Oryzias latipes: one gene and its partner. The protein of the gene in region 1 binds, or shares a complex with, the protein of each later gene. Links are inferred from orthologs where the notes say so. Each region holds a gene or a part of one and is shown in the gene's direction. Other genes may lie near its edges.

Region 1 (3,808 bases):
CTGGTGGTGTCACACCCTGGGGAGGGCTGTATGGCAGAGGTGGAGCTGCTGGCCAATGCACTGCCCGGGCGAGAGATGATGTCATCAGTGTGCACTTCCTTGTTGGAGGTTTTAGGCAATAAAGAGAGCAGCGTCCCGCTCCTCCTCACCTGCATCAGGACTCTAACTTTCCTCACTGAGCATAACTATGGAATCTACCACCTCAAAGTGTAATTTCACATTTTTCCGTTATTTTTATTTCAGGTTGAATATCTGCTTTTACTTAACATCATATCTACCTTTTTTTTCCTTTAGTGCTTTGAAGAAACATAGTAGTGAGGTGTTCTCACTGCTCAAAAGACTGATTTCAAGCTTCAGCAAGGATTCAGCAGATTTGCTTTCTGCTCTGCTTGACTTTCTCAGGCAGATTGTCAACACAGAAACAATGGTAGGTGCATCTTTTAAATCTGCTTTATTTTGAAGTTTTTTTAATAAGATAAACATCCTGCACAAGCCTGAAACACGCATTTACGTGCATTAAGATAGACCTTTCATTGGAAGTGGTTGCATAGACACATGTTTCAGAAGACACTGTGAATGTAGCTAAAGATTTGTTGTCAGAGAAAGAAGTGATAACACCTTTTTTCAGTAACTATTTACTTTTTACGTGGCATGTTTTGTTTTAGATTCTAAAATATTTTTTTCTTTGGAAACAGTGTGTTGAGGAGGGTCAGGGCTCCAGCGAGGAGCCTGTTTTTGTTCATCCACGACTGATGTCGCCTTCTGAGATGAAAGCTCTGCTGCAGTGGGAGGAGTCTGAGTCTCATCCAATATCTTCTTTGGAGAAATTATTAACTGTAAATATATTTCCAATCTCAATTTTTGTAACTTTTTTTGAAATTTTATTTTTATAAATGTTTATTGCGTTTTGGTTTTTAACGGTGTGTTTGTGCCCATAGAAACTTTGTAAAGAAGACGATTCCATGGAAACCATGTTGGAAAATGTGATTGTTCTGAGGCAGACGCTGGAGGTGGCTTCAGACACAGCTCCAGTGGTTGAAACTGAGCCCATTCTGCCTCCTCCTGAGACACTTGCAGCTCAGTTTAACCACAGGTTTGCATAAAATGGCCCTTAATTACAAAGATATCAGTTTTTTATTTTTACCAGTTGTTTTCTTAATTTTTTTTCTAAATAATTTTGCCATTTTTAGGAAAACTATTAGCTTATAATGACAAAAAGTTGCATAAATGCACATTATTACAATACAATAGACACAATTGATTGTTAAGAACTTCCTATTTCCATCTGCAGGACAGTGTTCATTCTGTCTGAGGCACTGGATGAGCAGCTGAAGGCTCTGTGGTTTTCTCCTTTCCAAACAGATGACATAGAAACTGATCTTGACATGGTATGTTTGTCTCTCTGTCTGCAATCTTCAGACATGCTCTCTTTTCTGTCATAATTACGGTCACCTTTGAAGGAGTAACATATCTTTGCTTTTAAACACGTAAAATAAACCTCACAATTTATTATTTTTTCTAAAAATAAATAAAGATTTTCCTTTTTTCATCTTGCAGACGAAAGAACTTTCACACATTCTTGTGCTTCTTTTTCCTGTGTTGCAGGTCAAAGTGGACCTGGTTGCTTTGGCACAGGAATGTTGTCCAGAACTCGACCTGAAAGCTGAGTTGGAGCGCTCCTTCCTGTCTGAGCCGTCTTCCCCGGGTCACACTAAGGCTACGAAAGGCTTCCGACTTGGCAAACACAAACACGAGACCTTCATCACATCGAGGTACAACTTGAGCCTGACATGAATTTTCATATGACCGAGTATCTTGTATTTAAATTTATATTTTGTTTTGCTTGTTTCTCAGTGGTAAATCCGACTATGTTGAACCTGCCAAAAGGGCTCACATCATGCCTGCCCCTCGTGGTCGTGGGGGTCGGGGAGGGTTTGGACAAAACATGTCACGGCCCCATGATATTTTCCGTCTAAGGAAACAAAATACATCCCGTCCTCCCAGCATGCATGTGGACGACTTTGTTGCAGCGGAGTTTAAAGACATTACCACCCCGCTCGGACTTCTACCCAACAAACGTCTCCCCAAGAGCCTCCCCAAGCCTCCCACCAGAGGTCTGTTCACTGGGAATAGAGGCAGAGCCACCTTCCACAACCAGACGCGCTTTTTTACTCCACCACAGCCAAAAGCTGTTCTGCTATCAGGTAAATACCCACAATCCTTAGTGAAACGGGTCACATGGGTGATGTGCAAAGGTTTCATTTTTTTTTTTGATGGTTGGCCTGTAGAGGATGATGATTGACTTCTTTGGGTTTCAGTAGGTAACTACACTCGGAGGGAAGGAGGCCGTGGTTCCTCGTGGAGTGGTCAGGTTCCAACAATCACCCACAGAGGAACCTACAGTGAACCCCGCGGAGGGCAGAGCAACTTCGCCCGAGGACCTTTGCCTTCCCGACAACCCCCTGCAAGTATGTAGAGCTAACATGTTTCCATCATTGCTTTTAACCTGCAGTACTAAAGTTAAAACTCTTTTAAAAACATTTTTTAAGGTGCTTATCGTCTGGCTATTCGTGATCGAGCTCCACGGGGCAGAGGAGGCGCCGGATTGTCCTGGCTTAGCGGGGGAGGAGGTGCTGGGAACGCTGGTGGAGTTGGAGGAGGTGGAAGAGGATCTCAGGGGAGCAAATTCAGTGGTGGGGGAGGAAGCGGAGGTGGGAGGGGCAGGCATGTGCGATCCTTCACCAGGTGAACTCACCTGGTTGAAAACTTCAGCTTCTTCTGACTGGAAATGGACCAACCAGATGGGATGTCTGCCATCTCCATGGAAACATGCTTACGTGATGTTGTAATACAGACTATTGATGTTTTATGTTTTGTTATCATGAGGCGTGTTTAGAGAATAAAGGCAGTTGTAACTCTTTGTGTGTTTTAAAGAAAACACCAAATCATGGGATTGGTGGTGGTGAATTTTTTAAAGCCTGTTTGATGGGTCGATGCTTCTGAAGACAGAAATGCTCATGATTCAAAGACTTCATAAAAACACAACTTTATTTTTTAACTAATTTATTTTACAACATACAAAATTGCCTTAATTCTTATATATGTATTCAGATGACCGTCACCTCCCGACTTTTCCTTTTGATGCATTGGAGAGTCAAACTGCGGGGGCCTTTTCGCAGCCCGTCCCCCAGCTGAGGTGAGGAGTGGCCGGCGCAGTTGGGAGGTGAGGCCAGGGACAGACTGGAGGCATGTAAAGGAGTCTCTCCCGGCTGGCGAGTCCGGTCCCTGCAGGGTGTCTGCTCATCTTCCTGGAGCTGGCTCTTGACTGACGGCTCTGCCGATTGTTGATTCTTCGTGAACTGCAGGTCTCGGAGAAGCTCCAACAGTTCCCTCTTCTCAAGCTCTGCCTCTGCTAACTCCTGCCTCCTCAGGCGCTCTGCTCCCAACACAGCGTGCATGTCACACATCACACGGGATATCTGACCCTGCAGAAGAAAAACTGTTCACATCAGGGATTCAAACACTTAAAAGAGGAACTTAAACCCCAAAAATGTATTACAGATTCTAAAATGACAAAGGACACACTCCTCAAGTAAGAGATTTGCATTAAATGCATTTATATGACGCATCTTAAAAATTTGTTTTCCATTTTGTCATCCAAAAAAACATTAGGAATTATATTATAAAAGTAATATTTGTTGTGTCGTGCTTACGTAATTTCTTAAGAAATTCAGATTTTGAAGGCTGTTTTTTTCTTTAAGTGATGAGAGCAATAACAGCACTTTGGATTCTAATAAAAAAAATCCTA
Region 2 (4,531 bases), on another chromosome or scaffold:
GGAATGCATAATCAGCTTTGGCATGAAATGCAAGTTAACCACATTTTTATAAATGTATTTGTTTATCGTCACACGTGGATCACAGTTGAGCTGCAGGACACATCCAAGAGTTTAAATTCCAGTAGTTTTTGGGTTCATTTGCAGGAGCTGGATCCACAGTGATTAACTCCAAGCCCCACAATGACAGTGACACGTGCCGGACCTATTTTTCCCATTCATTTATCATTATTATTATTTATTTGTATTTTTTTTACTGGGATGGCTAAACTGGGTTGCATTGTCTTAGAAAATCTTGATAAAGACTAGGTGGTTAAAATGGTAAATGCACAGGTTCTAAAAATTCTAATGCTCAGTTGAAGTTTTTCAATAAATTTAATTAAATTGTACACACAAAGTGAGTCTTTTTATAGCTATTTCTCCTTTTTTTTCTCCATTTTGGCTGCAGATTTTACAGAAATTGGGTATCAGTGGCAATTAAAATCGTTTTTTAGAATGAAAATGTTCCATCACTAATTTAAAAAAAATGTATGAATTTGAAACATCCAAAATGCTCAATAATCCAAGCTTTCAACAACAACAAAAAACATATTTTGAAGTTGAAATATATTACTACTGTAATTCTGAATGATCAATTAATATTTTGTATGTCAATTCAAAAATCACGTTATTGATTTTTATTTTCCAATTTATAAATATTTATTTCATATAGGCTTACCCTTAAAAAGATCTTTCATTGGTTGACTGTTCTGATTACAAATATTGTGTTTAATTGAAAATTGAATGGAAATGGCAATGTATTCTACAGTTAGGGGCACTGAGAAAGTCAAGAGAGCTGGATGTGTTAGGGATGAAGATGTTGAGGTTCTCTTTAGGAGTGATGAAGATGGATGATCGTGGATAAATCCATCAAAGGAACAACTCATGTAGGATCATTTGGAGATAAATGCAGGGAAGCCAGATTGTGAATGTGTAGATGTATTCAGCATCCTTTCAAGGATGCTGATGTTAGAGCTGGCAGGAATGAGGCTTAAGGGCAGATCAAGAGGAGGTCCACAGAAATAATGGAGAGTAGTTGGTGTGTTAGTCTTGGTAGAATAGAGGTGGGTGATTTAGCCTACTGAAGCAACCCCTGAAAAAATTAAATGAGAATAAAGGGTAAAGCTGGTCCTGATCGTAAATTAAAAATACCCTGAACCAGTATGTGAGTGTTAGTCCACATTTGGAAAAAGCATAGCTTGATGGATTTGAACATCCATCAGTAATGTATATATCTCGGGGCAAAGGTAGCCAATGGTATTCCACGAGTGGCCATATCGGATTTCCTAGCCTACCCCCTTCGCTGCACCCCTCCACAAACACCATTAAAAACGTTTTTCAGAAAAGGTTATAAGTTCTTATATATTAATCTTTGATTTAAAAAAATGATATACCCTGGTTAATTATAGGGGCATGCTTAGCTAATCAATATGATCCATATAAAGGCCTCAGATGGGGAAAAAGATCACAGTGGATCATAGAATGCTGCACCAGCTTGTTGTGCAAACTCTAAACGTCAAACACATGCGTTCTGAAGATGACGCCATCATTACGCGACCAGTTACAATTTTGCTAAATCGTAAATTCACCGGCGTGCTCCGGTTCTCGTGCATTTCAATGTCTGTATGCGCTCAACGCTACAGCTTAATTCATTTATATTAAAGGTTTAAGGTAAATTAGCTACAATTGAGCACCGACATTACAAAATAAATAAAATTTCACCAACGTCCGTTACGACTTAGACAAACTCAACTTGGTTCGGATGTGACGAGGTTAATATCGAGCGTACCCTTTAAATATATTTTAGCGGCTTTCTCTCTGAGAGCCAGCTAGCTACTGCTTGCATGTTGCTTTCCATGCTAAATGAAATACTTAATCTATTCCGAATAAAAACAAACCCACGCGGTTTTTAATCTTCTGTGACAAATTGCCACGAGGGGAAATATGAACAGTAGGCTGCAAGAGATCCGCGAGAGGCAAAAACTAAGGCGGCAACTGTTAGCCCAACAGGCAAGTACACACAGAGTCGCTGTTGTTATAGCAAACAGCTACAGTCAGCTAACATAATCATAGTTTAAGTCGAAGAAACACACTTTCTATATTTGTATCCACTCTGAATCACTCTTCTAATAGTGTTTACATCTCCATAATGGTTAATTATGAGTTAGCTACGCATTTGGCATTGCTTGCTTGCATTGTTGTCCTCAAAAACAGTCTGATTCTTCAATATACTCCCACAGTTGGGGGCAGAAAGCGCTGACAGCATTGGAGCTGTCCTTCACAGCAAGGATGAATTAAAGGAGATCGAGGAAACCAGAGAAACTTGCAGGTAGCACAACATTCATCCACGGAAAATACAAAACCCCAATAATATTTGTATGGAGCCGGTTAGAGAAACATAGTCTGTAGCTAATGGCTAATCAGTCAGAAACTATGCTATGTGACTAGTTTGTTAGAATCCAGATGTAGTTCTGGATAAAAATCACTTTCTCCATCCCTTAAAGTTGTGCATTGATCTTTGTGCATGCTGATGCAGGGATGTTGAAACAAATCATAAATATTTGTGTTGTGCAGGGCTTCATATGACAGCCTGCTCCCCTCTTCCAAAAGGAAGCAGCCGACAGAAGGAGAGGACACAGAGGAGGATGTGGAGGAACAGAAAGTGAGCACTACGTTTTCTGACTGTTACCACTACTGCGAACCTGCACATGCATAGAACGTCTGCTCTCCAGCTTAGGTCTATAGTTCTTAATTCAGTCATGTTTACTTTGTTTATTCATTTTTTTATATATAGCAAGTGTACATACATACATACAGTACAGACCAAAAGTTTGGACAGATCTTCTCATTCAAAGAGTTTTCTTTATTGTCATGACTATGAAAATTGTAGATTCAAACTGAAGGCATCACAACTATGAATTAACACATGTGGAATTATATACAGTGAGGTCAATAAGTATTTGATCACCCTGTGATTTATCAAGTTCTCCCACTAAGAAAAGATGGAGGGGTCTAAAATCTTCATCATGGGTGCATTTCCACAGTGAGAGACAGAATCTGAGGAAATATTCAGAAATCACGTTGTACAATTTTTTTAAACAATTTATTTGTATATTACTGTGACAAATAAGTATTTGATCACTTGAGTTAAACAACTTTAATATTTGGTACAGAAGCCTTTGTTAACAATTACAGAGGTTAAACGGTTCTTGTAGTTCTTCACTAGGTTTCTACACACTGCAGCAGGGATTTTGGCCCACTCCTCCATACAGATCTTCTCTAGATCTGTCAGGGTTCGGGGCTGTTGCTGAGACACACGGCGTTTCAGCTCCCTCCAAAGATTCTCTATTGGATTTAGGTCTGGAGACTGGCTAAGCCACTCCAGAACCTTGATATGCTTCTTACGGAGCCACTCCTTGGTTTTCTTGGCTGTGTGCTTCGGGTCATTGTCCTGCTGAAAGACCCAGCCACGACCCATCTTCAACGCTCTGACTGAGGTAAGGAGGTTTTTGCCCAATATATCACAATACAGAGCCACGTTCATCCTCTCCTTAATACAGTGCAGTCGTCCTGTCCCCTCTGCAGAAAAACACCCCCAGAGCATGATGCTTCCACCCCCGTGCTTCACTGTAGGTATGGTGTTCTTGGGATGATGCTCCTCCTTCTTCCTCCTCCAAACACGCCGAATGGAGTTAAGATCAATAAAGTTTTATTTTGGTCTCATCTGACCACAAGACTTTTTCCCATGACTCCTCTGGCTCATCAAGATGGTCATTGGCAAACTTCAGACGGGCCTTGACATGGGCTGACTTCAGCAGGGGAACCTTCCGTGCGATACATGATTTTAAACCATGACGTTTTAATGTATTACTTATAGTAGCCTTGGAAACGGTGGTCCCAGCTCTCTTCGGGTCATTGACCAGCTCCTCCCCTTTAGTCCTGGGCTGATTCTTCACCTTCCTTAGCATCATCGATACCCCATGAGGTGAGATCTTGCAAGGGGCCTCAGTCCGAGGGACATTGTCAGTCATCATTAGCCTCTTCCATTTTCTGACAATTGCTCCAACAGTTGTTCTTTTCTCACCAAGCTGCTTGGCAATTGCCCCATAGCCATTTCCAGCTTTGTGAAGGTCTACAATTTTGTCTCGTTTCTTTTGACAGCTCTTTGGTTTTGCCCATGTTGGTAGTTAGACTTCTGACTGATTGTGGGGGGCACAGGTGCCTTTATGGAAGCTAACCACCTCAAACAGGTGCCAATAATTTAGAATTATGAGCAGAGTGGAGTTGGACTATTTAAAAGCAGAACAGCAGGTCTTTGCTGGTCAGAAAATCTGATAATCAAGTGATCAAATACTTATTTGTCACAGTAATATACAAATACATTTTTTTTTAAATCGTACAAAGTGATTTCTGAATGTTTGAATGTTTCTTCAGATTCTGTCTCTCACTGTGGAAATGCACCTATGATGAAAACTTTAGACCCCTCCATGTTTTC

Evidence for each region. Proteins that work in one complex are often made in the same cells at the same time.
Region 2: virma (region 1) and mettl14 share a complex: the UniProt entries of both Homo sapiens proteins name them as parts of the WMM complex. The link is inferred for Oryzias latipes from reciprocal best matches to the Homo sapiens genes VIRMA and METTL14.

Annotation. Positions count from the first base shown.
Region 1 is NC_019874.2:17,760,206-17,764,013, reverse strand, and holds the end of virma (protein virilizer homolog), read left to right. Parts: coding exon 1-209; intron 210-294; coding exon 295-427; intron 428-695; coding exon 696-836; intron 837-938; coding exon 939-1,093; intron 1,094-1,291; coding exon 1,292-1,388; intron 1,389-1,605; coding exon 1,606-1,772; intron 1,773-1,854; coding exon 1,855-2,204; intron 2,205-2,318; coding exon 2,319-2,468; intron 2,469-2,549; coding exon 2,550-2,749; 3' UTR 2,750-2,953; downstream 2,954-3,808. Other genes in the region: RING finger protein 151-like, read right to left, coding at 3,108-3,485. UniProt on the Homo sapiens protein: Associated component of the WMM complex, a complex that mediates N6-methyladenosine (m6A) methylation of RNAs, a modification that plays a role in the efficiency of mRNA splicing and RNA processing.
Region 2 is NC_019859.2:14,173,177-14,177,707, forward strand, and holds the start of mettl14 (N6-adenosine-methyltransferase non-catalytic subunit), read left to right. Parts: upstream 1-1,583; 5' UTR 1,584-1,980; coding exon 1,981-2,046; intron 2,047-2,276; coding exon 2,277-2,365; intron 2,366-2,610; coding exon 2,611-2,698; intron 2,699-4,531. UniProt on the Homo sapiens protein: The METTL3-METTL14 heterodimer forms a N6-methyltransferase complex that methylates adenosine residues at the N(6) position of some mRNAs and regulates the circadian clock, differentiation of embryonic stem cells and cortical neurogenesis.